Linked DNA regions of Tamandua tetradactyla. The protein of the gene in region 1 interacts with the protein of each later gene in a pairwise test. Links are inferred from orthologs where the notes say so. Each region holds a gene or a part of one and is shown on either strand. Other genes may lie near its edges. The genes, in order: BAG4 and UNKL.

Region 1 (16,427 bases):
TAACCTAGATTCTTGAAGACAATTGTATAAAGATGTAACATTTATAATGTGACTGTGTGATTGTGAAAACATAGTGTCTGGTGCTCCTTATATCCAGGGTATGTCAGATGAGTAAAAAATACAGAAAATAAATAAACAAATAATAGGGGGGATAAGGGGTAAAATAAATTGGGAAACACTAGTGGTCAATGAAAGGGAGGAGCAAGGTGTATGGTATGTACGAGTTTTTTCATTTTTCTTTTTATTTCTTTTTCTGGAGTAATGCAAACATCCTAAAAAACAATCATGGTAATGAATATACAATGATGTGATATTTAAGCCACTGATTGTACACCAAGTACAGAATGTATGTGTGTGAAGATTTCTCAATAAAAAAAAATTAACAATAAAAAGAAGACATCAACAGTGCCACAGCAATACAAGGGATAAGTAATTGGGGAAGGGGAGGACAAGAGTTAGGGGAGGTTTGGACTTTTTCTTTGGTGAGGGTGTGTTTATCGGTTATTCTTCTCTTGGGATCAATGAAAATTGTCTAAAATTGAGAATGCTGATGATTGCACAACTAAGTGAGGATAATGTGAGACATGGATTGTTGACTTTGGACATTATACATGATGCCCAATGCCTGGAGGTAGCTGAAGGAAACAATGACTGTGCTAGTTTGCAAGGATTATGTACCCTAGAAAAGCTATGTTTTAATCTTAACCAATCTTGTGGGAGCAACCATTTCTCTTAATTACTATTCAATAATGTAAATTGGAAACATGATTGGATTATTTCCATGGAGATGTGACTCACCCAATTGTGAGTATGAACTTTTGAATAGAGAGAGGTGTGAATCCACCCATTCCAGGTGGGTCTTAATTAGTTTACTAGAATCCTTTAAAAGAGGAAGCATTTTGGAGAAAGCTTGATAGCAACAGAGCCAGAAAGTAGAGAGCCCACGCCACTTCTGGAGATAAAGAAGGAATACATTCCTGGGGGCGCTTCATGAAGCAAACAGCCTGGAGAGAAAGAAAGGAGACCGTCATTTTCACCATGTGCCTTTCCAGCTGAGAGAGAAACCCTGAACTTAATCAGCCTTTCTTGAGTAAAGGTAACCTCTTGTTGGTGCTTTTATTTGGACATTTTCACAGACTTGCTTTTAGACTTTTCCACAGCCTTAGAACTGTAAACTAGCTACTTATTAAATTCCCCTTTTTTGTGTGGAATTGTAACCCATATCAGACTCTGAAATCTGTTCTACAACTAATTGCTGCAATGTGCTTTGAAATGTATTTTGAAATGTATTGCTGTTTTTTTATATATGTTATTTTTCACGAAAGAGAAGAAAAGAGAAGGAATAATATAACAGAGAAGATAGGGTTTTACAAACGAATATCACTGCTGAATCAATATACTGCTATTTCTTTTGGTCTCCCAGTGTCTTGGAACAGTAATAAAAAAGTATATAATTTTGGAACTGTAACCCATGTGAAACTTTAAAATCTGTTGTATAGCTGCTTATTAAAATATACTTGGAAATCTAAAAAAAAAAAAATTCCCCTTTTTTAAAGCCATTCTGTTTCTGGTACATTGCATTCCAGCAGCTAGCAAACTAGAATACTGACTGAAAAGTAAAATGGTGAACTGTGGTGTATACACATGTTTAAATATTGCGTGGCTACAGAAAGGAACGAAGTTCTGAGGCATGCAATGAGGTGAATGAACCAGGGAGATATTATATTGCAAAATAAACTAGAAACAAAAGAAAAAAATGGAGAGGGGGCAAGGAAAAAAATAAGGATAAAAATTAAATAACTAATGGGGAGAATAAAGGGTAAAAAAATAAATAAATTGAAACACTAGTGGTCAGTGAGAGGGAGGGGTAAGGTGTATGGTATGCATGAGTTTTGTTTTTTTTTTTCCTTTTTCTGTAGTGATGCAAATGTTCCAAAAACAATTATGGTGACAAATACACAACTGTGTGATGATACTGCAAGACATTAATTGTATAATATGGTTGGACTGTACATGAAGATTTCTCAGTAAAAACAATAATAAAAAAAAAGGAGTCCAAGGATTTGAATAGACATTGAAATGGCCAATAAATATGTCTAACATTAACAGTCATTAATAAAATAAAACCAATACCACAGTTTGATACCATTTCACATCACTAGAATGTTTATTACTAAAAAAAACAGAAAATAACAAGAGTTGGAATAATGTGGAGAAATCAGAACCCTAGTGCGTTGCTGGTAGAAATGCAAAATGGTGCAGCTGTTATGAAAAATAGTTCGCTCAGTCCTTAAAAAAATTGAACATAGAATTACCATATGACCCAGAAATTCCACTCCTAGGCATACACCCAAAAGAAATGAAAACACGGATTCCAACAGATGCTTGTACACCGAAGTTCATAACAGCATTACTCACAATAGTCAAAAGGTAGAAATATCCCAAGTGTCCATCAGCTGATGAATAGATAAAATAATGTGGTATATATATATATATATTCTAGTTTGCTAATTGCCAGAAACGGAATGGTTTTTAAAAAGAGGAATTTACTAAGTTGCAAATTCACAGTTCTAAGGCTGTGAAATTGTCCAAATGAAAGCAAGTCTATATAAATGTCCAATCTAAGGCACCCAGGGAGATACCTTGGTTCAAGAAGACTGACGACACTCAGGGTTTCTCTCTTGCTGGGAAGGACACAAGGCGAAGTCAGCTAGCTTTCTCTTTCAGCTTCTTGTTTCATGAAGCTCCCCGGGGGTGTTTTCTGGCTGCGCAGCTTCTGTAGCTCTTTCCAAAATGGTTCCCTCTTAGAGGACTCTAGTAAGCAACCTCACCTTGAATGGGTAGAGACACACCTCCATGGAAATCATCTAATCAAAAGTTATCACCCACAACTGGGTGGTTCACATCTCCATGGGAACAATCAAAAAGCTCCCGGCCAGCAACACTGAATGAGGTTTAAAGGTCATGGCTTTTCAGGGGTTCACCATAGATTCAAACCAGCACAACAAGCAATGGAATATTATTCAGTATTAGAAGGAATGAAGTTTAGATACATATGATGACCTGGACAAACTCTGAAAGCATTATGTTAAGTGAAATAAACCAGACAGAAAAGGACAAATATTGTACAATTCCACTTAATGAAATGTCTAGAATAGGCAAATTCATAAAGAAAGAAAGATTAGAGGTTACCAGGGACTGTGGGGAGGGGGGAATGGGGAATTATGGCTTAACAGAGTCAGAGTTTCCATTTTGGTTAATGAATGCTTTTGCTAATAAAAGGTGTTGAAGGTGGCACAACACAGCAAACGTATTTAAGTACCACTGAATTGTACACTTAAAAATGGTTTCAAATGACAAATTTTATGTTATACACATTGTGATGGTTAAGTTCTGGTGTCAACTTGGCCAGGTAATGACGCCCAGTTGTCTGATCCGGCAAGCACTGGTCTAACTGCTGCTACAGGGATATTTTGTGGCTAGTTGATAAACTGAAAGGCTGGTTTACTAAATCATCAGTCAGTTGATTGCAGCTGTGGCTCATTACATCTGAGCTCAACTAACGGCAGACCCCTGCAACTGAGATAAGTCAATCAGCTGAAGACTTATCAGGGAGAAAAGAGACTTTTCACTATTTCTTCAGTCAGCAAGCTACCCCTGTGGAGTTCCTCATGACCTTCATCAGACCTGCCAGCTTCACAGCCCATACGGATTTTGGACTCTTCCATTCTCACAGTTGTGTGAGACACCTTTATAAATTTCATATTTACGAATATCTCCTGTTGGTTTTGTTTCTTTAGAAAACCCAGACTAATACATTCGTTTTACCACAACTTTAAAAAGAAGAATAAAGTTAAAAGACAAACAAGGAATTGGGGAAGCAAAAGTTTGCAACATTTGTAGACAATAGCTATGCCATTTCTAATTAGTTTTCTATTGCTGTGTAACTAGTTATCATCCAATACTTTTTTTAACTTGTTTTATTATATAGTATAACATATATACAAAGCAAAGAAATAAAAAAGCAATAGTTTTCAAAGCACTCTTCTGCAAGTAGTTACAGGCCAGATGCCAGAGTTTGTCATGGGCTACCACACGATCCTCTCAGATTTTCCTTTTCTAGCTGCTCCAGAATATAGAAGGCTAGAGGACTTGAGTATTTTTTTATCATTACAATCAACTTTTTTTCCTTCTTTTTTTTTTTTGTGAAAAATAACATACACACAAAAAAGCTACAAATTTCAAAGCACAACACCACAATTAGTTGTAGAACGTATTTCAGAGTTTGACATGGGTTACAATTTCACAATTTTAGGTTTTTACTTCTAGCTGCTCTCTAATACTGGAGACTAAAAAGAGATATCAATTTAATGATTCAGTATTCATATTCATTTGTTAAATCCTATCTTCTCTGTATAATTCCACCATCACCTTTGATCTTCCCATCCCTCCCTTTAGGGGTGTTTGAGCTATACCAATTCTAAATTTTCCATATTGGAAGGGTCTGTCACTAAAATGGGGTAGGGAGATGAAACTATCTGATGTTCTGGAGAGGCTGGGCTTGGTTTCAGGACTTATCTGGACCAGGGACCCATCTGGAGGTTGTAGGTTTCTGGAAAGTTCTTTTAGTGCATGGAGCCCTCGTGGAATCTTATATATTGCCCAAAGTGTTCTTCAGGATTGGCTGGAATGATCCTCATTGGGGGTTGGCAGGTTATGATAGGTAGCAAGGTCTACCTGAAGTTTGCATAAGCATCCAATACTTTTCATGTTTCAGAATTGTCAACCTGAAATATATGTCCAAATCTTGTAACAGTTTACAAGTGCCTATTATAAAATTCCAGTTTTACCTCCAACTACTCCAGCACTATGGGCCACCCTTTTTACATACCTACATTCCAACCACACCTGACAACTGCCTACACAATACACAAAACTTAATTTCCCTATCCTACCCAATCCCTATCAAACCCTACCCCAGAAAACACACTTTTGGTTTCATAATATAACACACTCAATAAGAAGTTCAGTGGCCCTCTCTTTCCCTTTAATTGCTTTTAAGTCTGGTTTGGCTATTTATAGGCCAAGCATTTCATAATTCTATCATGGGATTAAGTCCCTTAGCCTACATTTCCAGATTTAGGCAAAGAAAATATGGACCTCCCACTATTACATGTTTCTTTTCCCATAAAATTTTTTATTGAGATATAATTCACATATCACAAAATCCACCTTTTAAAATACACAGTCCAGTGTTTTGTTTTGTTTTGTTTTGTTTTTTAGTGTATTTAGAGTTGTGCAATCACATCTACATCTAACTTCAGGACATTTTCATCACTCCAAAAGGAAACCTAGTACTCATTAGCAGTTATTCCTCTTCCCCCAACAGCCACTAATTTTTCTGTCTCAATGGTTTTGCCTATTCTGGTCATTTCATATAAATGGAATTATACAATACGTGCTCTTTTATGACTGGTTTCATTCACTCCGCATGTTCTCACAGTTCATCATGTTGTAGCGTGTATCAGTACTTCATTCCTTTCTTTTTAATATTTTTTATTAATTAAAAAAATTACAGGAAAGAAACACAAACATTCTTAATATGTGATCATTCCATTCTACATATATAATCAGTAATTCACAATAACTTCGTTCCTTTTTAATTGCTGAATAATATTCCATTGTATCACTGTGCCATATTTTGTTTATCCATTCAACAACTGATGGCATGTGGGTTATTTACACTTTTGGGCCCTTATGAATAATCCTGCTATGAACATGAGTTACAACTTTTTGTTCGGGCATGTTTTTATTTTTCTTGGGTATATATCCAGGAATGGAATTGGGGGGTAATATGGTAACTCTATACTTAACTTTTGGGGGAACTGCCAGTTTTCCAAAGCATCTGCACCATTTTAAGTTCCCATCAGCAATGTAAACAGATTTCACTATTACATTTTCAATAAAATAAAAGATGCTATAATCGTCTAAAGGAAAAGAAGCACGCCGCCACATATACTGAAAACTCCCGACTAAGACCTACTAAGAATATTGCTTTAACAAAATAGAGGCTTATTTCCTGCAGGTAGAGAGAGAATAAAGGCTACAGGTCCTAGAATGTTAAGCAAGTAAGTTAACCTCTCAGAGCCTTCAGTTTCTTATTCGTAAAATCGGGATGCTGTAATGGTATTTACCTCGGCGTCGACGCAAAGAGCAAAAAAAAAAAAAAGCAATCCACGTAAAGGTGTCTTACAACCATATAACCCTATTCACGATTCAATCTCGGGCAGAACGTCTGGGCAAAAGGCTAAAGGCTCAGATCCCTACCCCTTCCTCAGTCTCCTTCCCCGTGAAGGGGCTGCCGAGTGACGACGGGGGCCGCGGCCACTTTCTCCTCCAGTGGAAAGCCGGTCTGCGGGGAGCCACGCAGGATAAATTGTTCAGAGCTGGAGAAGCGGAGTCGAGTCACCTCCAACCCTACGTCTCCCAGAAGAGATGGCCTGCAGCCTGCTACTGAGCAGGCGACGCAAGACCTCTTATTCCTATTTTAACGGTAATTCACTCATTTTATTATACCAAAGCAGAAAGAAGGAGGACAAGAAGAACACAAGCCTGTACCCCGCCCCATCCATCCCCAGCAGGGAGCCCGGTCTCCGTCTTCCCAACCCTCCAAAAGGATAAAAAGAATGAAACACGACCATTATGAATCCTGGAGGTCCAACAACCTAAACAGCCCTCACCCTCAAAGACACCTCCCCCCCTCCCAACTCCCTTCGACGGACGGTGAAAAGCTTACTTGGTGGCTTCCTCCAGCTCGACCCGGCTCTGTCCAGGTGACCCCGGACGAATAGTAGCCATCGCCTCCTCCGCCTTCTCCTGGCCAGGAGGTCTCGGCCGGGCCGCCCCCGCGCACCTGCCAGGAAACGTGGGGCTGGGGAGGTTCCGGGCGAGGAGGGTATATGGTGGCCGGTGGGTGCACCGGCACATCTCCTCCTCCGGGGCCGTAGTAGCGGCCGTAGGGCGGCCCATCACAGGGGCCGTAGCCCGAGCGCCTCAGGGCCGACATAGGATCCGCTGCCCAGAAGCGCTTCCCGCCCCCCACGGCCGGCCCATCGCGCAGGCGCCCGCCGGAGAGAGCGAACGGCCCAGCAGCCACGGGGAAGGGCGACCACAGCCAATCCCAGGCCCGGGCCCGCCCCTTCTACTGCCGGGTCCTGAGCAGAGCGACCGGGGTTTGAGACTTTGGGGCCTTCGAAGTAAGAGAGTGAGGGGAGGTACCGGGTTCCTCAAAAGGGAGAATACATTTTCCCACCATCTGTCCGACTTAGACTCCCCTTCCCCTCTTCCTCAGGGAAAGAGAGCGGGTGTTCGGGACCACATAACGGTCCCGCCTCTTCCTGAGGACGGGCCTGCGCACCGGAAGTGGGCGTGGCAAGATGGAGGCGTTTCCGACGGGCCCCGGCTGCTGAGAGCCCGGGTGCTGGTGCTGGTCTCGGTGCGGGTTCCGGTCACGGACCCGCCGAGGCGGCGACTGCGGTGGAAGGAACCAGGTGATAGGACGCGCCGGCAACATTCTCTCAGTTCAAAAATGAACTATATGCCCGGCACCGCCAGCCTCATCGAGGACATCGACAGTGAGTAGCTCATCTCCTCCGAATGAAGTCTGGGGTAAGACCCTTGCGGGCGCCTCTTCGGAGGAAGCCCGTGGAATAAGTCCCGGGCGGGGGCCGTGTGCTTTGAACTCATTTCTAGGTGTTCGGAGCTAACTTCTTTCGTAGCCAGAGGACACTCCGCTTGCCCACTCTCTACCCTCCTGCCTCCATCACGCCTCTCCTGGTCCCCAGGCTGGTAAGCCACGACCTGTGGGAATCATTCCGGCTTCCAAGAGACGGAGCAGCGGAGGACCGAACGCCAGAGTGGCCCCGCAGACTTCTCCTGTGTCCACTGTCTCCCACCTGCTCTGTTTTTGAAATACCAGGTTACTGGTGAATGAATGAGAATACTTTGAGAAAGAATCCTTCGGGAAAGGGCATTATTAAGACAGCAACAGTTGAATTTAATTGGCAGTAAAAGTAGGCTTTGTGCTGTGCGGCAGTGTGTAATCTTACCCTAAAGGTCTTTAACACTTTCAGGTTATGGTAGTAGAGACAGCTGCCAGACACGGTATTGACTTTCCTGGAAAGGCTTAGTCACTTCAGATTTCTTGCTTTTTCTAAGAAAATCCCTTCTTCCTGTCTACTGTCCTGAACGGGAGTACAGAAAAAGTAAGAGGAGCCACTTATAGTTGTTCTGTCTTTCCTTTTTCTAAACTCTTATGTGTGCGTTATTCCTCAAGTAAAACGTCTTAATTATGGAATTTGTCTCATTAACTTGTAAAAATGGTTGCAAAATGGTTTACACACAGTTTCAAACAAGTTTGAATTATCTCTGCAGTTCCAGTGTCAGTAGCAGAGAGTATGCAAATTAAATTCTTTTATGGTTTTCTGAGATCGTATTTTTTAAAAATCCAAATTAGTTATTTTGCTATTGAAAGGAAATGTAGTGTAAATTAAACCTAACTCATATATGAACAGCGCTATACAAACCTACGTATAATGTGTAATGAAATGTTTTGTTTTAGTTACCTAGGGATACCATTTTGCCTTCACTCCCTTTTTATATATCTGAATTATTAGAGGACCCTAACATATACTACCATTTTACTGAAAATCATTTTTGTTTTCCAGCCTCTAACTCCTCTCCCTTTATAGATTCTTGGCCCCCTCCTTTACTGAGAAATTTGAAGTCATTTGATATGCAACACCATATAGTCACATTTTCTCCTCTCCTCAGTCTTATGTATCTTCACCAATCTTCTTATTAGACTAGGAAGTATTCTTCTCTTTCTGTTCATGTCTATTATTACTTTCTTCTCCCAGTGCTTCAGGATATTTGTTCCATTAATAACCTTTCCCATATTTTGTACTCCACCCTGACCCCGATCCCTCCCTTCATATATGTAGTTGTCTTTCCATCCTCAGATTTTTTTGTCAGGTATGTCTCCCCATGAAACTCCCATCCATTTGTCATATCTTCACCCCCTAAACTTCTTGAGTTGTTGTCCTTTGACTCAGCATCCTGACCAACTGCAATAAACCACCTCTATTAGACCCACAATCTCATTTTTCTCATCACTATACTACTGAAGCTGCATCCTTAAAAATCACCAATCAACAGCTCTAATGCACTTTTTAAGATTCATCTCTTCCAATCTGGATACTGTCCCCACTGTATTCTTAATTCTACTCTCTTCTCTGACACTTATACTTGCTTTTTTTTAATCTCTCAAACTTATTATTCCCTAAAATAAGTGGTCTCTTGGGTTCTGCATTTGGCCTGCTTCTTTATTTCTCCAGGAAATCTCATGGACTTTAATAATTAAATTGACTCTTAGTGGTGGATTTGTCTAAAATTGCTCTAATTCTGACCTCTGGCATTCCATTCCGACATTTCCAGCATACTGACATTTCTACCTAGAAGTCCTGATAATACTTCAGAATCACAAACAGGTAATAAACTTCTTTCCTGACCTTGCTTCTTTTATTTCCAAATTTTGGTAAATGGTCCTCTTTGATGTGATGACTCAAAACTTGGATACTTCGTTAACTCACTTCTTCAACACCTCCACATACCCCCCATACAAACTCAGTTACTTGACAGATCCTATCACTTATACCTACAGGTTTAACCCTCTCCTCCTGTCCCTTCCTTCTTTACCTTACTTCAGATCCCTTTTTTGTGTCTCAAATAGGGGAATCATCTAACTGCTCTCCCTTTTTTTTTTTTTGATAGATCAGCTTTCAGTGTTTTCTTGTTCTCTATGAAGTCAGACCCAAACTCAACCTAACCATAATAATACCTTTCTGACTTCATCTCCTGTTTCCCTCCATATCCTCAACTTTCAGCCAAAACTTATGAATAAATAGCCTTTTCTTTTTTCCTCGGCCTAATAAACGAATTTCTCTTCTCCTTCCTTTCCCGGTCATTCTTTCCATGGCCAAAAACTTTTAAGTCCAACTTATTTATATCCTCCAGCTAGATATAGTTTCTCTCTCTGAAGTCTTATATAATTAACAGTTCCTTTCTTATGATACTTAATTGTAGCCCCAGGGAGACCATAAATTCCTTCAGGGCAGAGTCACTGTCTTGTTCCTCTGTTTCGCATCTAGGAAGTATATTATGCATGGCATTAAAGAAATGAATGAGTGAAATTTTGTTGGCTATTCTAGGACAGGCTTATTCTTTATTCTTTACATTTTAACTCAAAGTTACCCCTTTAAGAAAGATTTTCCCTTGCCACCCCTTCTATGCTACTACCCCTTTCCCCTCATCATATTCTTCTGCTATGTTGTTTATTATTTCATTGTACTAATCACAGCAGGTAATTTTCTTGTTTATCTTCCTTGACCAGGAATATAAGCTTATAAGGCCACATCCTGACCAACTGCAATAAACCACTTCTATTAGACCCACAGTCTCATTTTTCTCATCACTATACTACTGAAGCTGCATCCTTAAAAATCACCAATCAGCAGCTCTAATGCACTTTTTTTTAACTTTTTTTATTAATCAAAAAAAAGAAAAGAAATTAACACAACATTTAGAAATCATTCCATTCTACACATGCACTCAGTAATTCTTAGTATCATCACGTAGATGTATGATCATCATTTCTTAGTACATTTGCATCGATTCAGGAAAAGAACTAGCAAAAAAGCAGAAAAAGATATAGAATGTTAATATAGAGAAGAGAATTAAAATAATAATACTAATAAAAAATATATATAAAAAAAGGAAAAAGAAAAAAAACAAAAACAAAAGATACAAACAAACAAACAAAAAACTATATTTCAGGTGCAGCTTCATTCAGTGTTCCAACATAGTTACATTACACTTAGGTATTATTGTGCTGTCCATTTTTGAGTTTTTGTATCTAGTCCTGTTGCACAGTCTGTATCCCTTCAGCTCCAATTACCCATTATCTTACCCTGTTTCTAACTCCTGGTGGTCTCTGTTACCAATGATATATTCCAAGCTGATTCTCGAATGTCGGTTCACATCAGTGGGACCATAGAGTATTTGTCCTTTAGTTTTTGGCTAGACTCACTCAGCATAATGTTCTCTAGATCCATCCATGTTATTACATGCTTCATAAGTTTAGTCTGTCTTAAAGCTGCATAATATTCCATCGTAGGTATATGCCACAGTTTGTTTAGCCACTCGTCTGTTGATGGACATTTTGGCTGTTTCCATCTCTTTGCAATTGTAGATAATGCTGCTATAAACACTGGTGTGCAAATGTCCGTCTGTGTCTTTGCCCTTAAGTCCTTTGAGTAGATACCTAGCAGTGGTATTGCTGGGTCGTAATCCATTCTGCCAGTCTATGTCTTTTGATTGGGAAATTCAGTCCATTAACTTTTAGTGTTATTACTGTTTGGATAATATTTTCCTCTACCATTTTGGCTTTTGTATTATATATATCATATCTGATTTTCCTTCTTTCTACACTTTACTCCATACCTCTCTTCTCTCTTTTCGTATCTGACTCTAGTGCTCCCTTTAGTATTTCTTGCAGAGCTGGTCTCTTGGTCACAAATTCTCTCAGTGACTTTTTGTCTATAAATGTTTTAATTTCTCCTTCATTTTTGAAGGACAGTTTTGCTGGATATAGAAGTCTTGATTGGCAGTTTTTCTCTTTTAGTAATTTAAATATATCATCCCACTGTCTTCTAGTTTCCATGGTTTCTGCTGAGAAATCTACACATAGTCTTATTGGGTTTCCCTTGTATGTGATGGATTGTTTTTCTCTTGCTGCTTTCAAGATCCTCTCTTTCTCTTTGATCTCTGACATTCTAACTAGTAAGTGTCTTGGAGAACGCCTATTTGGGTCTATTCTCTTTGGGGTGCGCTGCACTTCTTGGATCTGTAAATTTAGGTCTTTCATAAGAGTTGAGAAATTTTTAGTGATAATTTCTTCCATTAGTTTTTCTCCTCCTTTTCCCTTCTCTTCTCCTTCTGGGACACCCACAACACGTATATTTGTGCGCTTCATATTGTCATTCAGTTCCCTGATCCCCTGCTCAAGTTTTTCCATTCTTTTCCCTATAGTTTCTGTTTCTTTTTGGAATTCAGATGTTCCATCCTCCAGTTCACTAATTGTAGCTTCTGTCTCTTTAGATCTACCATTGTAGGTATCCATTGTTTTTTCCATTCTTTCTTCTTTGTCCTTCACTCCCATAAGTTCTGTGATTTGTTTTTTCAGATTTTCTATTTCTTCTTTTTGTTCAGCCCATGTCTTCTTCATGTCCTCCCTCAATTTATTGATTTGGTTTTTGAAGAGTTTTTCCATTTCTGTTCATGTATTCAGCATTAGTTGTCTCAGCTCCTGTATCTCATTTGAACTATTGGTTTGTTCCTTTGACTGGGCCATATCTTCAATTTTCCGAGCGTCATCCATTATTTTCTGCTGGTGTCTGAGCATTTGATCAGATTTCCCTGGGTGTGGGACCCAGCTGGTTGAAAGGTTTTTCTGTGAAATCTCTGGGCTCTGTTTTTCTTTTCCTGCCCAGTAGGTGGCGCTCGTGGCGCTCATCTGTCTGCGGGTCCTACCAGTAAAAGATGCTGTGGCTCCTTTAACTTGCCAATCTGAATCTCGCAGTCGGCCCGGGAAACTGCGCGTGGAGGGGGGGGGTCGCCGGCCGCCGCGGCTTTGGGGAGTGCCGGTCCAAATTGCCCAGCTGGCCCGAGACGCCAAGCGTGGCGGGTGGGCCCCGCTATCCAATGTTCCCAGTCAGACCAGGGAGCCACGTGCGTGGAGGGGACCCCAGTCGCCAGCCGCCCCGGCCGGGAAAATGCGCGCCCCTCGGGTATCTCACCGCAGCGGATTCTCCCTGCCCGTTCAGCCGTTCCAGAATGGGGTACGCTGTCTTTTTGGTCTCTGTCCTGGCTCTGGGAGCTGTTTCATATTGTTTCTGTTTCTTTAGTTGCTGTTCTGGAGGAGGAACTAAGACCCGCGCGTCTTACTAAGCCGCCATCTTCTCCGGAAGTCTCTAATGCACTTTTGTTGTTGTTGTTCTTTTCTTTATTTTTTCAATTTTCTTTTTTTTTTTTTTTTTTGCTTTTTTTTGTTTGTTTTTTGTTTTTTTGTTGTTGTTGTTGTCTGATGCACTTTTTAAGATTCGTCTCTTCCAGTCTGGATAAGAGCCTTATTCTCTACAGTATATCTAGACCCCAGAACAGCACATACCTTTCAATATGTAATATTGGATTTCTCCTCCAGCTTATTCTCATAGTCCTCATTTAAATATCTAAGGCATTTTTTTTTTGTATTTATAACCATTGCTGGTTCCAAACAAATTGTGAGATAAGTTGAGAGGAAAATAATTCTAGAATTAAGATCACAGAGATATCTAGGCCAAATCTCCTAGTTTGCAGATATAGAAACTGATATCCAGAAACAAAAGAACAAATGTTGCATGGTCACGTTTAGAAAATACTATATAAGAAAACTGAGACCTAGCTTGTAAGCTCTTATAGCAGTCACATTTAGTCCAGAGCTGTAATTGTTATTTCTAGATTTTGAGGTACTGTGGTATTTATGTGGTATTTCCCTGGAACTTTGGGTACCTGTGTAACTCCTAAGACTCAGAGTAGGAGTTCTGCAGGTCTGAAAGTCAGCATTGCCACATACAACAACTGTGAAAGAAATTAAAAAAGAGATTAGGCTTCAATTAGAGATGAGAACTAAGCCTACCAGGTTGGGACTAAGGTAAATCAGAATACAGGGGTAAGGAGGAGATTGTCTATATTTTAAAACTTTACCTACCCAATGAGACCGAAGGAAAAAAAAGGTGTTTTTTTGTCCCAAATCTCAATTTTCTGTAGCAAATAATCTAACTCAGCCTGTCTGGATAGATCATTTAAACAACCCAAAAACATACAGCCCAGAATAAGAATGAAGGCATGTAATTCTGTATAGCTTAATGTACTGCCTGGATACATCCCAGACCATGTTGAACAGATCATTAAAAAGTATTGGCACAGAGACTGCTGAGCCCCGTTTGTCCGCTGCCACCTACTCCGGACACAGAACATCCAGTCATGGATAAAAATGAGTTGGTGCAGAAGGCCAAACTGGCCGAGCAGGCTGAGCGATATGATGACATGGCAGCCTGCATGAAGTCTGTAACTGAGCAAGGAGCTGAATTATCCAATGAGGAGAGGAATCTTCTCTCTGTTGCTTATAAAAATGTTGTAGGAGCTCGTAGGTCATCTTGGAGGGTCGTCTCAAGTATTGAGCAAAAGACGGAAGGTGCTGAGAAAAAACAGCAGATGGCTCGTGAATACAGAGAGAAAATTGAGACCGAGTTGAGAGATATCTGCAATGATGTACTGTCTCTTTTGGAAAAATTTTTGATCCCTAATGCCTCACAAGCAGAGAGCAAAGTCTTCTATTTGAAAATGAAAGGTGACTACTATCGTTACTTGGCTGAAGTTGCTGCTGGTGATGACAAGAAAGGGATTGTGGATCAGTCACAACAAGCGTATCAAGAGGCATTTGAAATCAGCAAAAAGGAATGCGTTGCATTCAACCGACGCATCCTATCAGATTGGGTCTAGCCCTTAACTTTTCTGTGTTCTATTATGAGATTCTGAACTCTCCGGAGAAAGCCTGCTCTCTTACAAAGACAGCTTTTGATGAAGCCATTGCTGAACTTGATACATTAAGTGAAGAGTCATACAAAGACAGCACGCTAATAATGCAGTTACTGAGAGATAACTTGACATTGTGGACATCGGATACCCAGGGAGACGAAGCTGAAGCAGAAGAAGGAGGGGAAAACTAACCGGCCTTCCAACTTTTGTCTGCCTCATCTAAAATTTACATAGTAGACCATTTGTCATCCATGCTGTCCCACAAATAGTTTTTTGTTTACGATTTATGACAGGTTTATGTTACTTCTATTTGAATTTCTGTATTTCCCATGTGGTTTTTATGTTTAATATTAGGGGAGTAGAGCCAGTTAACATTTAGAGAGTTATCTGTTTTCATCTTGAGGTGGCCAATATGGGGATGTGGAATTTTTATACAAGTTATAAATGTTTGGCATAGTACTTTTGGTACATTGTGACTTCACAAGGGCCAGTGTTAAAACTGCTTCCATGTCTAAGCAAAGAAAACTACCTACTACATATTGGTTTGTCCTGGTGGGGGATAAAAGGGATAATTGGTTCCAGTCACAAGTGTAGTTATTGTGGGTACTTTAAGGTTGGAGCACTTTCAGGGCTGTAGTAGAAATAGATAACCCATGGATGATACGTGTTTAACCATGTGTATCTGTGGAATACACAATCTCAATGTGCACACCTTTGACTACAGCTGCAGAAGTGTTCCTTTAGACAAAGTCGTGACCCAGTTTACTCTGGAGAAGGGCAGAAACGGTTCACATTCCATTGTTTGTAAAGTTACCTGCTGTTTGCTTTCATTATTTTTGCTACACTCATTTTATTTGTATTTAAATGTTTTAGGCAACCTAAGAACAAATGTGCAAGTAACTACGCAGTAAAAACGAGTTGCTTGATATTCATTACTTCATGTTTATCAAGCACAGCAGTAAAACAAAAAACCCATGTATTTAACTTTTTTAGGTTTTTTGCTTTTGTGATTTTTTTTTTTTGATACTTGCCTAACATGCATGTGCTGTAAAAATAGTTAACAGGGAAATAACTTGATGATGGCTAGCTTTGTTTAATGTCTTTTGAAATTTTCATGAACAATCCAAGCATAATTGTTAAGAACATGTGTATTAAGTTTATGTAAGTGGAATAAAAGTTTTATGAATGGACTTTTCAACTAATTTCTCTACAGCTTTTCATGTAAATTAGTCTTTTGGCTCTGAAACTTCTCTAAAAGAAATTGTACATTTTTGGAAATTAATTCCTTATTCCCTTTTGGCAGCTAATGGGCTTTTACCAAGTTTGAATAAGAAGTTTATCATTATGACAAAAATACTACTCATGTAACTACTGTTCCCAACCATGTCCCATTCTCATTTCCCTCCTTTCCTCCCTACCCCACCCCATACCCTCAAATCAGTTTCTCTTGTAGGGGGGTGGGGGGCTGTCAAGTGGATAAAAGTAATGTGTTTCATTTAAATTTTTGGTATATGGCATTTTCTAACTTCAGAAGCCACAATGTTCTTGGCCCATCATGATGTTGGGTAGCATTAACTGTAAGTTTTGTGCTTCCACTTTTGGTTTTTAAGAATTTCTTGATACTCTTGTAGCCTGCCTTCAATTTTGATCCTTTATTCCTTCTATTTGTTGGGTGCACAGGATTACCTTCCTTTTTAGCCTTCTTCTGTCTCGTCACCAACCATTCCTACTTG
Region 2 (16,191 bases), on another chromosome or scaffold:
GGCGGGGGGGCCCCAAGGTCGAGAAGACCCTGCTCCTGCCTTGGAGCCCGTGCGGCCTGTGCCTCGGGGCGGCCCTGGCCGTGGGGAGCACCTGGTGCTGTCTCAGCCACCCCGGGAGGCTGGCACCCCACGAGACGGGCCGCACTGTGGGGAGCCATGGCGCAGACCCACTGCCCCTCTGTCCCGGGCCTCTGCACCAGGCGACCAGGCTCGTGGGGGACCGTGTCTGTGGGTGTCCGTCCCTCAGGGCCTGCCCCGCCCGGGCCCCGCACCCCGCCTTCTCACGCCCGCCCTCTGCCTGGCCCCTTGCTCTGCAGAGCTGGGGCCCTGGGGGGGTCTTTGGGGTGTCGGCTCAGGCTTGGCCTTGAGGGTCTACAGCCCAGCCCCGCCGCCTACCTCTTGGTGCCTCCGGTACTTTCCTCCACCTGCCCCGAGGCGACCCGGGACAGAGGACTCCAGAGAGGGGCCGAGGGGGGGAGCAGGTGGGCGTCGGGGGGCGGTGCTGGGGGGGCTGGGAAGCTGAGGCCAGAGTGCACCTGGGGTCCCCTCCAGGCGCCGGCAGAGGGTCACAAAGCAGGTCCAGGGCCTCAGGGGTCAGGAGGTTACCCATCCCCATCTGCTGTCCCCCCACACACACCCATCCCCCCTGTGCCCTGAACAATGTTCCAGATGGCCCTGGAGCCCCGTCAGGAGGCGGGAAGCTTTTGGTACTGGTAGGGCCAGGCTGGGGAAGGGCCTAGGGCTGGTGGGTGGCATTTTGGTACTGGTGGGACCCTGGCATGGGGCTGAGGCCCAAGTGTATGTCCTGCCTGTTCAGGCCCCAGGCAGCATCGACTCACACCCAAGAAGGCAGGAACAGCCTGCCCCCCGCCCCCCCCCCCCACCCCAGATGCATCATCTCCCTGTGGGAAATCAATAGCTCCCACCTGCTGGCCTCTGGGTGGGTGCGGGCCGCGGGCTGTGGGTGGGGGAGGCAGCGTGACCGGGCCCCAAGGGCTCGCTGGGGTCAGGGGACAGGCCTGCAGCCCTCCTGCCCCTGCACCCTGGGCCTGGCTGCCGGGTGGAGAAGTGCTCGAGGCCATGGGGCTGCACTGGAGAAACCTGCGCCAGGGGAGAGAAGCGTAACCCTGAGCTGGCCTGGGGCCACGTGGCTACAGAGGGGTGGCTGTTACCTGAGCCTCCATGGCCTCAGTGTGGGGTTTGTGGCTTGTGAGGGGCTCGGTACCCCCCGCGCACTCCTGCCTGGCAGGCAGCCCCCGTCCAGCCCCCGGGCCTCCCTCCCTCGTGCCTGCTTTGGCCTACAAAGGAGACCCAAGGGGCAGAAAGAGTGGGGTCTAGAGGCAAGAGGCCACTCGGCCACACAGGCCGACCCCCTCCCTGCTTACCGCACAGTGAATCCCCGGCTGACCATGCTGCCCAGCTCTGCCCCCACCCTGCTACCCTGGACTACAGAGCTTGTGCCCAGAGTCCCTAATGTGCCCTGACTGGGCAGTTGCCTGAGCAAAACTCTTAACCTCGGGGCCTTCTGCCCCCACCTCCTCCAGGAAGCCCTCTGGGCTGGCACTGGCAGGATGCATCTGGCATGTGCCAGCCCCTGAGAGCAGGCCGGCATCTGGCTCACAGTGGTGCTCTGAGGCCTGGAAGGCGTTGCAGGGCCCAGAGGGAGCAGGCGGGGCGGGGCGGGGGAGGAGGCCCTGGGAGGACAGGTGCCCCTGTTGACACAGCAGCTGCGAACATGGCTGGGCCGAGCCTCTCAAGGTGGGGGCGGCTCCCAACACGGCCGAGCCCGCGCGCCTCTGACACCCCGGGGGGGAGCGCATACTGGCCCCCCGAGGCCTGGGTGCCTCTTCTGCCAGGAGGCGTGGCGGGAGAGGCTGCTGCAGAGGCGGCCTTTCACAGCTCCAGGCGACCTCACCACAGTCCCTCGGGGGACCCCAGGCAGAGAGTCAGGGAAGACAAGGGGACAGGGAAGGGGCAGGGCCAGGACCTCCTGCCGCCCTGGAGACAGGGCCTGTGAGTTGCACCCAAAACCTTGAACGGAACCAGGGCACCTGAAACGGAAAGGGGGCAAGGAAGCGGGAGCCCAGGCGACCCTTCCCACCGTCGAGCTGGGGTTCTCTCCCCTGGAGAGTCAAACACTGGCTGTTCAGCTTTCCAAACAATCTTGCCACCAGCATGGGTACAAATTCTCCTCTGCAGCTCTGGGCATAGTTGATGTTGTTTTGCTTCTAAATAATTTTTTTTTTTTGTAAAAAATTATTAACAGTTTTCTTCTAAACACAATGTTTTATTTTGTAAATCAAATTTACCCAGTCCCCCACTTCTAAGGGTGGTCTTGTTGTAAAGGACCTCGCACCTCCCTGGGACCCACAGAAGACGCCCCCACGCCTTGGCGGTCCAGGTCACCTCGGAGTGCTCATCTCGGGCCTGCTTGCTGAGACCCACGCTGCCGCCAGAAGCGCTGCCCGTCTTGGGGGTGAGGCCTGGGTCCCCACCACCGGCACAGGCTCTTCACACCTCCTGGCAGCAGGGCTCCCCAGTGCAGGCGTTCCGCCTTCCCACCCACCACGGCCCTTTAGCACGCCGACCACCCCCAACTGTTTTTGGGACATGACACACTTTTGGAATAAAACAAAAGCATCTGAATTCCACGTGGGGAGCAGAGACACTCAAAGGTTTCTGGGATTTACAGTTGTATTTGCCTCTTGTGACAGGGACAAGGTGGAAAAGGTTTTATTCCTTATAACTGCTGTACAGCCACAAGAACAGAACACAGATTTGAGCTCAACACCTCAGCCTGCCCTGGGACGAGTCCAACTGCATCTGGTTTATTTTCTTGTGAGACAGTGTAGTTTCTGTTGTACGTACCCATGAGATAATATTCTGTATGGCTGAATATTAAAAGATGAGCTTTACCTAAATCACAGCTGCACACACATGTGGGCATGGAGTTACACAGACGGCCCCCCCAGGAGCTGCGAAGGCGACTCGGCTCCTGTGGGCTCTCAGGCCCATCAGCAGAACTTGAGCCGGCGGTAGGGACAGATGATGCCAGCAGCTTCCCCTGGGGCCGCCCAGTGCCTCCTCGCAGGCTGAGTCCACAAAGCTGTGGACACGGGAGTCTGCGGGCTTGGCCCGGGGGCATGCCTGTGGCAGGACTTCCCCACGGGGCCTTGGCAGGACCGGCTGTCTTGGGCTGGGGACCATCGCCCCCCGGCTCAGCGAGGAGCGCATCCACCGGTGTCGCCCTGAGAGCCCTTAGGCTTTCCCAGCCTGCCGGGCCTGAGCTGCTCTGGGAGCAGACACAGCTCTCCGTGAGCAACACCCAGCAACGAGGATACGGACCGGCCATCACGCAACAGCACAGTTCCCTGCGCGCGCCTGGTCTAGCCTGGGGATGCAGAGGAGTGGGGGAGGCCGGGCTCTGTCCTGGCCGAGCTCCCTCCCAGGGAGAAGGCGGCACTGACCGTGGAAGGGAAAAGGCAATTCCAGCGAGCGGAAGGGGCCGACGACGAAATCAGGCTAGGGCGTTAGCACGGGCTCCCGGAGGAGACCCCGCGGGCGTGCGCCCTGGGCGGCGGGGAGGGTGCAGGGGTGCGGGCCGGAGAGCTCGCGAGACGGGGCAGTAGCCGGGGGCGCCGCTTCTCAGAGGCCAGCCCGTCGGAGGAGGCCGCCCCCACTCCACGCGGGCCGGCGACCGGAGGACCGGGCGGGCGCGTTCGGCTCCCGACTAAAAAAAGAACTACATTTCCCAGCAAGCCCGTGCGGCCCTCCGGGGGCGGGGCCTACGACGGAAGAGGCCTCTGGGAACTGCCTCATTTCCGTTGCGCGACCGGGCCCACGTTCTGTGGTCGTGAGTGGAGCCCTGGGCGGCGTCCGGCTTCCGGCTTCGCGCGACGGAAGTGACGCAAAGCGGCGCGCCGCGGCCCCGACCGCGGAGCTCGGGCGGAGATGAGTCGCGTCCTGTGTGTTCCTGCGGCGGGGTGAGTTCCATGCGCTCTCAGCGGGGCCGAGGGCGAGCCGGCTGGCGCTCCGGCTGGCGGAGCGCTCACTGCTCTCTCCCTTCCAGGACCGTCCGGGCGCTGCGGCTTGTGCGCCGGGCTTCCCGAAGCCTGCACCCGCCGCCGGGACCCCGGGCTCGGGCCCAGTCGGTGACTGAGGGGGAGGAAGAGGAGGACCCTGACCGACCCATTAAGTTTTCTTCCAGTAACATCAACCCGAGTCTCTGGACTGTAGGGCACTCCCTGGGAAAGGCGCAACAGCGACCCTGGTGGAAAGTGCTGCCCCTCTGCCTCTCCCTCGTGGCGTTAGTCGTCTGGTGCTTCCTGAGGCGGGAGACCCGCAAGGACGAGTGGTTGAGACGGGTGTTGCAAGAAGAGATGCCGGAGTCCAGTGGCCGTTCTGCGGAGCTTGGAGCTCCTGCTGGCGACGGCGCGAGAAGCTAACGAGGTGCCCGGCGGGGAAGAGGCAGCCGCCCTTAGGCCTTGATGTCTCGTTTGACCGTTTCTGCCCTGGTTCACGTGTGCGTTCCCTGCACTGAAGAATCAGGGGGTGGCGCACTAGGCCACGCCGACTTGCGTGGGGTGCAGCAGATCGGTATCTGCCTCACGTGATGCATTGAATGCGTCCAAAAGGCTTTCAGATCCGTAGGAAAGGTTTTGGTTGCTTTGTGTGCTGTGAGATTCCTGTTGCCTTCGTGCGACAGAATCATTTCAAAGCGTTTCTGGTGACACTTGTAATCCAGTTGTTATTTTGCTGGTCATTTGCTTTTTGAGACAGAATAACTGGCAGAAGAGTTAAACTTTATTATGTACTCTGTGTAAAGAGCATATGTTGATGTTAGTTTTACACGCTAAAAAAATTGAAAATAAATTTTAATTTGGTAGCGTGGAATTAAGGCAACTCTTTTTGTTTTTCTTTTTGCATTTCACTTTTTTTATAAAAGGTATTTTAGTAGGCCAACAGCTGTGTTTTTCAGTTCCTTTGTTTTTCTTTTTTTCCAGAGTAGGAATTGAGAAAATAAATCTCAATGTAAATTGTAGAATACATTATCAAACTATACCCCAAATAATGGGCTTTCTCAACTTTTGAACACTTCTTTGTTATTGCCAAAGCAACAACTTACTTTCTTTTTTTTTTTCACATGGGCAGGCACCGGGAATCGAACCCAGGTCCTCGGGCATGGCAGGCAAGCACTCTTACCTGCTGAGCCACCATGGCCCGCCCAACAACTTTCTGTGTAGAATAAAACGTAAATATTTCCTCTGACAAATTATGGGCAATATTTTAGGTTACCTAAATGACTTTTTTTTTTCCAAGTGACTGCTTGAAAAAATCTGCTTGATTCTGAATTAAAAATACATAAAGGGAAGATTTTATGAATCTAGCCTTCTATGGAAGGTTTTCTTTATCTCACTGTTTGTGGTGCCAAAGTTAATTGGCGATTTCTCTGTTTGCACAGTGGTTTTGAATCACCATGGGTGATAACATAGTGATTTCTCAGGTCTTGTTTCTGAGTGATCCAGGTATCTGCACACATCTGTGAATTGCGCTTGTGAAGGAGGTGGTGCTGATGCAAGCATGTCATCTTTTTAATATTGGAGAGACCAAGTTTGGTATGATTGATCATCTTAGCTCAGGTTCCGTAGTACCAGTCAGACATAGCAAAGGACTAAGATGTCATCCCGGGCCTGGAGTGGTTGTGACTGTCTGCTTGTGAACCATTCTGTTTGAACAGCAGTCATTCAAGCCTGAACCTTGACGTTTTTCTCTCACTATCTACTGCAGGGAATAAAAAGTTAGCAGAACTAACAGAGAAGAATCTTTTCTTTAATTAAAAGCAGTTTCCATACAAAAGCAATGTATGTTTTATCTGGAAAAAACGGGCCCTAAAAGAAGCACAAAGAAGAAAAACACCAGTAATTCTATCACCTAGAGGTAACTACTGTGAACACTGTCATTTATCTTTCTAGATTTTTTTTTAAAAGACAAGTTGGATAATAGCATTGTTTTGCTGGACATCATACCACATGCAAAGGATCCCAAGTATTCCAGGGCATATCTGAAGGTCTTTCCAATTAATGGTTTTGTGCCAGTGACAAAGATAAAAATTTTCATAAGCAAGAGGAGGGCCCAAGGCCAGCTGGCAACAGTGGGCAAACCCTCCCCAAACTTGGACTTTTCAAGGGTTGACAACAGACTGGTCAATTTAAACTGTTCTTTGTTTGTTTTGTCTTACTCCTTTTGTTTTTGTAGTATGCTTGTTTTATTTCCCAATTTGGCTGTTGCTTTTCTTTTTCCCAGGTTACCTGGCGTGTTGACTTCCCCATAAAGCAGTCAGCATTTGAGCATTTTGTTTGAACAAACAAAAGAGCTTTGTTGAGATATAATTCACGGTTCTCACTTCACCCACTTAAAGTGTACAATTCAAAGTGTGTTGGTATACCAGTGCAAGCATGCTAGAGTGGAAGTGGTTCCAGTGCATAGTGAGATGGTAAATTATTAGACAGAAGGAGGAGGAAATTGAGAGAATGCTTTCAAGGAAGAGGAGGTTGTCACTTTCTGTTGAGCAGTCTTAGAAGCCTGTGGCAGTACTGTGCATTGTCCCCGCCCCCCCCCCCCAAAATGGTGAAACCCTAGTTTATTTTACCTGAGTCTGAGCATTACCCCAGACTTTTTGTTTTTGTTTTTGTTTTTTTTTGGCATGCTCTATGGCAGGGGTCACGTTTCATTCTTTTTCCATGTGGGTATCCTGTTATTGCAGCCAAAAAAAATTTTTGAAATTTTTTTTGTTTTGCTGGTTTTGCTTGTTTGTTTTTTGGGGAAGTGCATGGGTTGGGACTCGAACCTAGGTCTCCCACATGGTGGGTGAGAATTCTACCACTGAACTACCCTTGCACCCCCTTATCCTGGTTTTTTAAAAACATTGTTCAAAAGCACAAAATAACCCTGTGGGTGACTTCCCCTCTTATCTTTACAGCTGAGATCCTCAAAACTCTTCATCTTAAGCCCCCAGCTTCCTTCATAAGCCCTGGAGGGTTCCCTGGTGGACCATCTCAGGTTGCTTGAACTCCTTCAATTCAAAACAGATTCTTGACTGTGCCCCAACCTTTCCCTTTTCGAGACTTTGCCTCATATCCCACTTAATTTTATTATAATCTACCCACTCCTCCAGGCTAGAGACCTAGGAATTATTCTAAACTTCCTCTCATCCCCAGCGTCTTCAAGATCTGTTTATTCCTCCTAAGAATTCCTGGATCCTGTCCCCACTTGCTTCTGCTTCCGCTTGATTTTCTTTAAGAATATCAAAATCCTGTAGTTTCAAGATTTAAATAATGTAAAAGTAATTTAGAAAATGAAAGTATGAGGGAGATAGTCATCCATCCTACCTGTTAGCGGTGATTTACTGTTATTTGCATTTCAAAACAAGTGACTGACATAATTGGGAGCGAATGTGTGGAAACTTTTCTTTGTTTCTAACCTCAACTGGAACATTTTTTCTTGTCACTAACAATTCTTAGGAAAAATGGTTATTAACTCACTCATAATCTAACCATTTTCCAACTGCTGGGCTGATTGGCAGTCTCGTTTTTGCTAGATAGCTCTCTGACAATTGTCTTCATACATCTTTGTCTGAATCGGATTTTTTTAGGTTGGCGTTCCACGACATAGAATAGCTTCCTTTACTTAGAGGTCTGCACCGGTTTGCCGTCCCTTTCCCGGGGGCGTACCTGCTCAGGTCATTGGTTGTGGGTTGCTGTTCTGAAAACAAAAATCTGCCAACTCGAAAGGCACTTCGATATTTTAATTTGCATTTTTAAAAATTACTGGTGACATCGGATGTTTTAAAAAATGCCTCGTGTGCTATGCATTTGTAAGATAATGCACGCTCCCTGGAAGCTTTCTCCTGAAATGCAAACCCCTTGTTCTTGGGACTGGCCCAGCTGGGGCCATGTTTGCCGGGGCTCAGCGCTGGCTTCCCTCTGCACCCCCGTGTGTGCTCTCTGGCCACCCTGATGGGAACTAGTGTGGGTGTGACTCTCTTGAGCCACACAAACGAACAAAACAGCTTTATTGAGCTGTAATTCACATGCTATCTAATTCACCCACAAAGTGTATAATTCAAAGGGTGTTGGTATAGGGTTGTGTAACCATGCAACAATTTAATCGTAGAACATTTCCGTGCCCCATTAGCAACCACTCGGTCCGCCCCGAATTGGATCTGTTGTTTGCGGCCTCCGCACCTAGCACAATTCGGGGAGTCCAGGAATGAGTGAAAGTGCGCGTGCAGGCCGCGGGTGTGTCCCAGCACTGGGCACACGGCGCGTTCGCCTTGGTCCCGGGGCCAGCTAGATCCGCTCCGGGTATGTGCCAGCGTTGGCAGAATGAATGGGCGGGAGCGGAGACGGCTGACGGCTAGGAGGGGCTCCGGGGTCGGGAAAGAGAAGATGCGGGGGTGAGGGCGGTGGGCTTCGGGGGGAGGGGTTGGGACGCAGGCGACGCTGAGTACCGCGAGACACGGGGATGGCCGAGGCCGCGCGCTCCACCGGACAGTGTCGCGGCAGGAGCTTGGGCTGGGGTCCGCCGGCCGAGAGAGCTGCGCTCGCGTGTCCGCGGCGCGGGCGGGTGCTGACGCCTTCCGGGGCGGTGGGCGCTGCGCGGTCCGGGACCGCCCCCCGCCCGCGAGCGCTACCTGGGGGGCGGGGCCGGGGGCGGGGCCGGGAGGGGTGGGGGGCGCGGGTGGGCTCGGCGCGGGTGGGGGGAGACCCGGAGGGGCGGGGGCGGGTCCGCGCGGCGCATGCGCGCTGCATTGTTTTGACTGAAAATGCCGTCGGTTTCGAAAGCGGCGGCGGCGGCGCTGAGCGGGTCCCCCCCGCAGACGGAGAAGCCGACCCACTACAGGTCAGCCCCGGGCCCGCGCCGCCGCCGCCCTGGATGCCGAGCCGCCGATGCCGGGGCGCGCGGAGGGCCGGAGGCGGGAAGCGGCCTCGTGCGCGCCCGGCCTGCGCGTGCCCGCAGTCCGGCTCCTGGGCCTGGGGCGGTCCCCGGTGCGGCCTGGGCTGGGGGGGTCCGCGCCCTGCCGCCGCCCGCCCGCCGATCCTCTGCTCCGTCCCCGCCGCAGCCGCTTCCGCTCTCCGGGGCTTCGGGACCGCGCCGGCCATGGGGGTTGGGGGTGGTCCGGGTGGTTGGGGTCGGGGACCGTGCCGGAAATCGGTGTCAGAGAGCGCGCCGGGTGCCTGGCTCTGGGACCGTGCCGGGGCTCGGGGTCAGGGGTCATGGTTGAGGTGTGGGTCCGCGTCGGGGATGATCCCCGGGGTCGGGTCCGTACCTGGGGTCTGGGTCGGGACTGCGTCGGGATCGAGCTAATACTTTGGGTGCGGGATCACCAGGGATTAGGGGGCCACGGGCTTAGCGTCAGGGGTCGGGAACTGCGCTTGGGGTCAAGTGTCTGGATGACCGAGCTTGGATTCTGGGGGCAGGAATAGTGCTTGAGGCGGGGGGGACCTGGCCTGGGGTCTAGGGTGGCATCTTGGCTTGGGAGCCGGGGGCCGCCTCTTGGGTCGGGGGTCTGCGCCGGAATGGCGAGTGGGATACGACCGGCTGGCCTTGGGCTGCTGCCGCCTTGGGTTGGGGGCCGGCGCATGGGCTCTGGGGTGGCACCTAGGCTTGGGGGTCAGGACTGCATCTGGAGTTCTGGGTTTCACGCTTAGCCACGGATCCTGCGGGTGGGGGCTTTCTGCGCCTAGGGTCTGGGAGACCGCCTCTGGGGTCGGGGGTGGCCTCTCACCTGGACCCTGCCTGTCGCCGCTTGGGATCTGAGGTAGTAGCTGCAGTTATTGAGGGCAGGGGTGTGCCTGGGATCGGGGGCCCGCGCCTGAAGTCAGAGGTCCCGGGAGACCGCGCCTGGGGCTTGGGGGGCTGCGCCTGCGGTCGGGGATCGGGCCTGGGGTCTCCCGCGTCCCGGAGCCCCCCCGGCCGCCCGACCCGCAGCGCTGTGTGTTTTTTTAGGTACCTAAAGGAGTTTAGGACAGAGCAGTGCTCGCTGTTTCTGCAGCACAAGTGCGCCCAGCACAGGCCGTTTACCTGCTTCCACTGGCATTTCCTAAACCAGCGTCGGCGCAGACCCCTCCGCAGGCGCGATGGCACCTTCAACTACAGCCCCGACGTGTACTGCGCCAAGTACGACGAGGCCAGCGGCGTGTGCCCCGACGGCGACGAGTGAGTGCGCGCGGGACGCAGCCGGGACGCACGGGGCGCCCTTTGGGTGTGCAATTGCCAGAGTCGCCGCTGGCCTGGGTCTCGCAGGCAGCGTGGCCCTGGCGCGTCAGAAACCCTCTGGGTACCTCTCAACACGTGGCGCCGCACAGTGGGGATCATGCTTTTACGCTGCAGACGGTGGGGAGGGGGCCTTCCCTATTTTTAGGCAAGTGTGGGCGACTGTGTGGGTTTTCGGGATAAACCGAAATTGTCCTGCCTCCTACTTTTGACTGTGCCACAGTTTTCCAAAGAACCTTCGTCAGAACCAGCTTTATGTGGTATAACAGCCCTGGTGCCCGCCGTTTCTTAGTTGTGGTCGATTCCAGAGGAACAGTTTATACTAAAATTTATTGGCTCTATGTCCCTGTGCATCTGGAATATTTTCTTTCTTGCTGTTTAAACTTTTAATTTTTAAAAACGGATAGATAGTAAGTTATTTTATTTGCCGACTGTCACTTCTATAGCACTTTTAAAATTTAAGAAATCAAGATTTTGTTTGGGTTGATTTTTTTTTTTTTTGCAAGTTTCCTAATGGTGTTATGAACAGATGTCTTTATTTTGAAATATGTAGAATGGGGAAATACAAGTCAGGTTATGTATTCACATAATGGGTGGGAATCCATAGCGGGAGTTTTACTCTTTCCTGCTGGGTGCTTCTTTTTGGGCTAAAGGTGAGGCATGTAGGGACCCCTAACGGGAGCTGCCTGCTCAGCTTCTCTCGGGATAGGTTGGAGCTGGTGGGTCTGAGGGCTCAGTCCCCTGATGCCCTTGGGGAGGGCTGCCGCTTCAGGAGTGCCCCTCACCCCAACCCCACAGAACCTGGCAAGATGGCTGCTTTCCTGTATTTTTCAAAAATCCTTCAGCCAGAGAGTAAACTTTTGATCACTGTCTGATTGCTTTATAAACTTTAAACATTTCCTGAAGTTTTTAGCTGAATGTGGGATGGTTAAGTAGCTAAATAGCTTTGTCCTTAAGGACAAGTGCCATTTGCACTTTCTGCATTGGAAGCATTTCTGTTTAAGTTCGATTTATTCTTCCGTGCAGTTTTGAAAATGCTGTGTTTAATTGCTTCCTGCCCTACTAGGAGGTATTTGTGTGGTGGAGACACTGCTTTGGTCCCTCTTTATTCATGGCCCTTGTCCAAGCAATCACCTCTGTAGACCTCGGGTCCCGTGGTGGGGCCACTGCTGCCTGGTCCCATCCCAGAGTGGATTCTGGGGCAGCATTAATTGGTAATGTTTTAACACACAAAAGGACGTGTCTTTTAACAGCTGTTTCGGATTCCAGAGCTGAACTGTCCAGTTATTGAACCCCAATACTGGGCACTAGGTAGGTCCAGTACTTACTGGGACGGCACAGTGGCAGGGAGCACCTGCCTACAGCAGCCAGTTCCCTTTGCATGCATGAGTACATAACGTGGAACTCATGCGTTACAGAAATGCTAACTGGAACCACAGAGCTGACGTTCTAAATGGTGCCTGGTTTACTGCACGCCAGGATAGGGGTGTGATGTTTTCTATTTGGGAGTCCTCCTGGGGACATCTGCCTGCAGTGGGACACTCCCACAGGACCTCCGTGAGCACCTGGAGGGACCTGCTTGTCCCTTGGAGATGTTTTAGGGGCGGGACCCTATGGAGTCCTGCTGAGTCCTGGCCTCAGTCCACCTGGAGATGGACTTTCCCATCAGGCACAAATGAAATAGCCCCAACTTTGGCCTGCTGAACCCCATATTCTGGTTCAGGCAGCATGGCCGTGAATTCTAAACAGACCTACCTTTCAGAGTAAGGACTGGCGAACTTGCTTGTATTTCAGTTGCGGTTTTTGTTTTTGTGATTTCCCTTTTGGGCACGTGTTCTCCCAACCTGTTATTTTAGAACAAGAGTGTCAAAGAGCAGCGGCCCTGCGGCCAGTTTCAGGTGAAGTAAGCATAGAGCTTGTTCTTGGTGCCAGATGAGGTGACCCCAGGGGACGGTCATCCTCCCACCTACCCTGGCCGCCATCCCCGCTCTTCAATGCGCCTTTCCTCAGTGGGCCTTCCCCTCCATCGCCTGCATCCATGCCGCCACCTCTCCCCGGGCACCCCAGGGTCACACCCCTCGCGGCACTCCCGTGCCACCCTGTTTCCTCGGTGGACGGGCACTCTCCCCTTCCTCCGACCCGCGGGCACCCCCTTTCCCCGTGCGATCACCCTCTGGCCTTGGGACTGAGCGGAGTCGGCTGACTCGTGGTGCTGGTCTGGTGCTGGTCGCTCCGGAAAACGCCCTTTGTTCTGAGCGGTCCCGCCCCTCGCCAGGCGCCAGCGGCGATTGGCCACCCCCACCCAGGTGGCTGCCGGCCCCTCCCCCGTGGGAACTGTGGTCGAAGCGGGGGCACGCCTGGCCCCTGGTGGAGGTGCGCCCGGCTCCGGGTAGGCAGGACTGCCTCTGTCTAGCTGGGTTTTGATACCCAGCACGTAGCAAGAATTAGGACGCTACTGGAGGCCTTAAGGACCCGGCTTCCTTCCCAAGCCTGGTTCCCAGTGTTTACTCCTCCTTCGCAGTAGAATTCTGACCTCTGGATTGATCGCAGGTATTTCTCCTGTGCCTGACTTTCTCTTACCTCTGGAGGTCTCTCAGGGTCCACCCCCTCCGATGAGGGACATCAAGTGTTGCAAGGGGCTGTGACTGGCTCCAGCGCAGGACTCTGGACCTGCTCCCACCCATAAACTCAGGTCTGTTGCCCACCCTCCCACCCCCACTTCAAGACCTCAGCGTGGAATCCCACCCATGATGCAAAATACCTGGCTTCCTGGGGGCCAGTGGCCTTCGAGGGGAACTTCCTGGCACCTGGTGGCAGGTGGGGACCCTTGGTTACCAGGGGCTACAGGGCTGGGCCCTTCCCACTTGCTCCCTGGCGTGTCCCCCCTAAGGCTGTCTGGAGCAGAACCCCTGGCCTGGTGGGTGAAGGTGATTGTGTGGGGCTCCCCGCTATGAATAGCCAAGGCTGCCTGGCCACTGTCTGTAGGACCGATTTTAAGAGAAAACTTTTCCAAGTATCTCCTTCTGAGTAAGACTGTTGTTGCTGGTTTGAGTCAGGATTTAATATTAAAAAGTCTGGTGCTTTTGGACCTAAGGCACAAATTTTTTCCTGCCTGGGGCTTCTGAGTGGCTAAAACTGATCTTGTGGGTAAACTCTGCCTGGGCTTTAGGGCGAAGAGAAGCAGCAGGCTTGACCATCACAGCGCCACATTGAAGTGTCAGGGGTTCCTCACACCCTGGAAGGAGACACAGCTTTTTGGTTAATGGATACTAGTTTGAGGGAAAGCACCATCAGGTTGTTGGGTTAGAATCTGTAACATGCACATAGGAAAAACGTGTAAGGTCACTGAGTGGTGGCCATGCTCTGACCCGTCCTGCTTTGTGTGACCGAGCAGGGGTGGCATTGGTCCTGGTAGGAAGTGCCTGGAGAGGGGGCTGCTGCGAGGGCGCTAAGAGGGTGGGGTGGGGGTCTTGGACTTGCTGGAGCTGGAAGTCCAGATTAGGGGAACGGTGAAGTTTCTGTCCTGACTAGGGAGTCATGGGCAGCCCTTGGGAGCTGTGGGCAGGGTGGGGGGCACAGCTGAGCTGACAGATTTGCTGGGCATGGTATCCGAAAGGAGAGGGCAGATATGGGCAACTGCCTAGCCTGTTTTTTCCCATCTTCCTACTGTCACTTATTTTCTGTACTCATGTGTGCGGGTTTGAAACTGTTACATACCCCAGAAAAGTCATGTTCTTTTAATTCTAAATCCAGTCTTGTGGGGGCAGCCATGTTCTTTTAATCCTGATCCAATATTGTAGGGGTAGGACCTCTTGATTAGGTTGTTTCCCTGGAGATGTGACACAGCCAGTTGTGGGTGGGGCCTTTTTGATTAGCTGGAGATTTGACTCCGCCCATTCAAGGTGGATCTTGATCAGTTTGCTGGAGTCCTTAAAAGAGCGGACACAGACTTAGACAGAGACATTTGGAGATGTAGAGGAAAATGCCAGAAGGATCCACAGGATCTGCCAGAGCTGTTTGAAACCAGAAGACTGGAGAGGAGCCCAGCAAACTTCTTCATGTCAATTCCCATGATATGCTAAGCAAGCCAGAACCCAGAGCTGTGTTCTGAAGGAGCTAATGGAAGGCCTGCAGATGCTCAGAGAGGAAACCATAGGAAACAGAAGCACAAAGCAATGAACCAGGAGCAGGGACCTCAGACGCCAGCCATGTGCCTTCCCAGTTGTCAGAGAAATCCCAGATGCCATTTGGCCTTTCTTTGGAGTCAAGGTATCTTTCTCCGGATGCCTTAGTTTGGACATTTTTAAGGTCTTAGAACTGTAAACTTGTAATTTAATACATCTCCTTTAAAGCCATTCCATTTTTGGAATATTGCATTCCGGCAGCTTCAGCAAACTAAAGCTGTTTGGTTGGTCAGTCTTGCTTCTCTTTTAAAAAAAGTAATTGCTGTTTTACATGTAAATTACATTATATATATATATATAAAATGTAAGATCTGCCTCGTTAACCATTTTCAAGTGAACAAGTGAGTGGCGTTAAGTATGTTCAGGGTGTGGTGTCCCCACTGTCTCTTTCCAGAACACTTTCATCACTGCAAACAGAAGCTCTGGCCTCATGAAGCACTTGCTTCCCAGCCCTTGTAACCTCTAATCTACTTTCTGTCTCGTGCATTTCTAGGGATTCCAGAATATGTTGGTTTAAAACTGTCGTATACCCCAGAAAAGCCATGCTTTTAAATCCTCATTCAATATTGTTGATTGGGATCTTTTTATATTGTTTCCTTGGAGATGTGACCGATCCCATTGGGTGGGGGGATCTGGTGATTAGGTGATTTCCATGAAGATGTGTCTCCACCCACTCAAGGCAGAATTGCTTACTAGTGTTCTTTAAAAGGGAACCGTTTTGGGAGAAGCTTCAGAGAACACATAGCAAAAGACCTTTGGAGATGCAGAAAGAAAATGCCCCTAGGGAAGCTGTTTGAAGAAGCTGGGAGAGAAAGCTAGCAGATGTCAACATGTGCCTTCCTAGCTGAGAAAGAAACCTGAACCTCATCAGCCCTTTCTTGAGTCAATCTGTCTTTCCCTGGATGCCTTAGTTTGGACATTTCTATGGCTTTAGAACTGTAAACTTGCAGCTTAATAAATTCCTTTCTCAAAAGCTGTCCTGTTTCTGGTATATTGCATTCCTGCAGCTTTACAAACGAAAATGCCACGAAAATGAAATTGTGCAATATTTGTCCTTCTGCGTCCGGCTTTGACTCAGTGCAGTGTCTTCAAGGTTGCATGCGTCAGGACTTCATTCCTTTTTAATGCTGAATAATATTCCATCCTATGATTAAACCATATTTGTTTATCTACTTGTCTATCAATAGACATTTGGGTTTCTTCCCCTGTTTGGTAATTGTGAATAATGCCTAGATGAATATTTGTGTGCAAATAACTGTTCCAGTCCCTGCTTTCAATTCTTTTGGGCATATACCTAGGAGTAAAATTGCCAGCAGTGCAAATCCAGGCCAGACCACCTGGCTCAGAACCGCTAGGGCCGTACTGGTGTACTCAGGGGCGGACGTGTGGGTGGGGCAGTCCCATGCTTGGCTCCTGGCGTGATCTTGACAAGTGGTCACTGGGCACCATTGGTTGAATTGAGTTTGGTGGACGCACCTTGCTGTCAGGTGAGCACTGCCGGAGGGCAGTGGCCGCTCCAGGTGCTCCTGGAGACGCACAGGACCCGAGCCTGGCCCCTGACTGTCCTCCGCAACCCTCCCATTGCTGCTTCCAGGTTTCTGGAGGGACAGTCCCACCAGCATGGGGGCGCTGCACTCTGACCCTCAGGTCACTCGTTTAGGTGCTGCAGCCTGCACGTGAAGGGGGCTGTGCTCTGGCCCTCTGGTCACTCGTATAGGTGCTGCGTCACAGC

The links.
Region 2: the proteins of BAG4 (region 1) and UNKL interact in binary tests that used the Homo sapiens proteins (3 or more experiments, as listed by UniProt). The link is inferred for Tamandua tetradactyla from reciprocal best matches to the Homo sapiens genes BAG4 and UNKL.

Annotation. Positions count from the first base shown.
Region 1 is NC_135352.1:5,118,851-5,135,277, forward strand, and holds the start of BAG4 (BAG family molecular chaperone regulator 4), read right to left. Parts: upstream 7,100-16,427; 5' UTR 7,067-7,099; coding exon 6,797-7,066; intron 6,518-6,796; exon of another isoform or gene 6,291-6,517; intron 1-6,290. UniProt on the Homo sapiens protein: Inhibits the chaperone activity of HSP70/HSC70 by promoting substrate release. Prevents constitutive TNFRSF1A signaling. Negative regulator of PRKN translocation to damaged mitochondria.
Region 2 is NC_135349.1:56,011,256-56,027,446, forward strand, and holds the start of UNKL (putative E3 ubiquitin-protein ligase UNKL), read left to right. Parts: upstream 1-8,810; 5' UTR 8,811-8,824; coding exon 8,825-8,901; intron 8,902-10,008; coding exon 10,009-10,218; intron 10,219-16,191. Other genes in the region: UQCC4 (ubiquinol-cytochrome c reductase complex assembly factor 4), read left to right, coding at 3,952-3,983, 4,070-4,445. UniProt on the Homo sapiens protein: May participate in a protein complex showing an E3 ligase activity regulated by RAC1. Ubiquitination is directed towards itself and possibly other substrates, such as SMARCD2/BAF60b. Intrinsic E3 ligase activity has not been proven.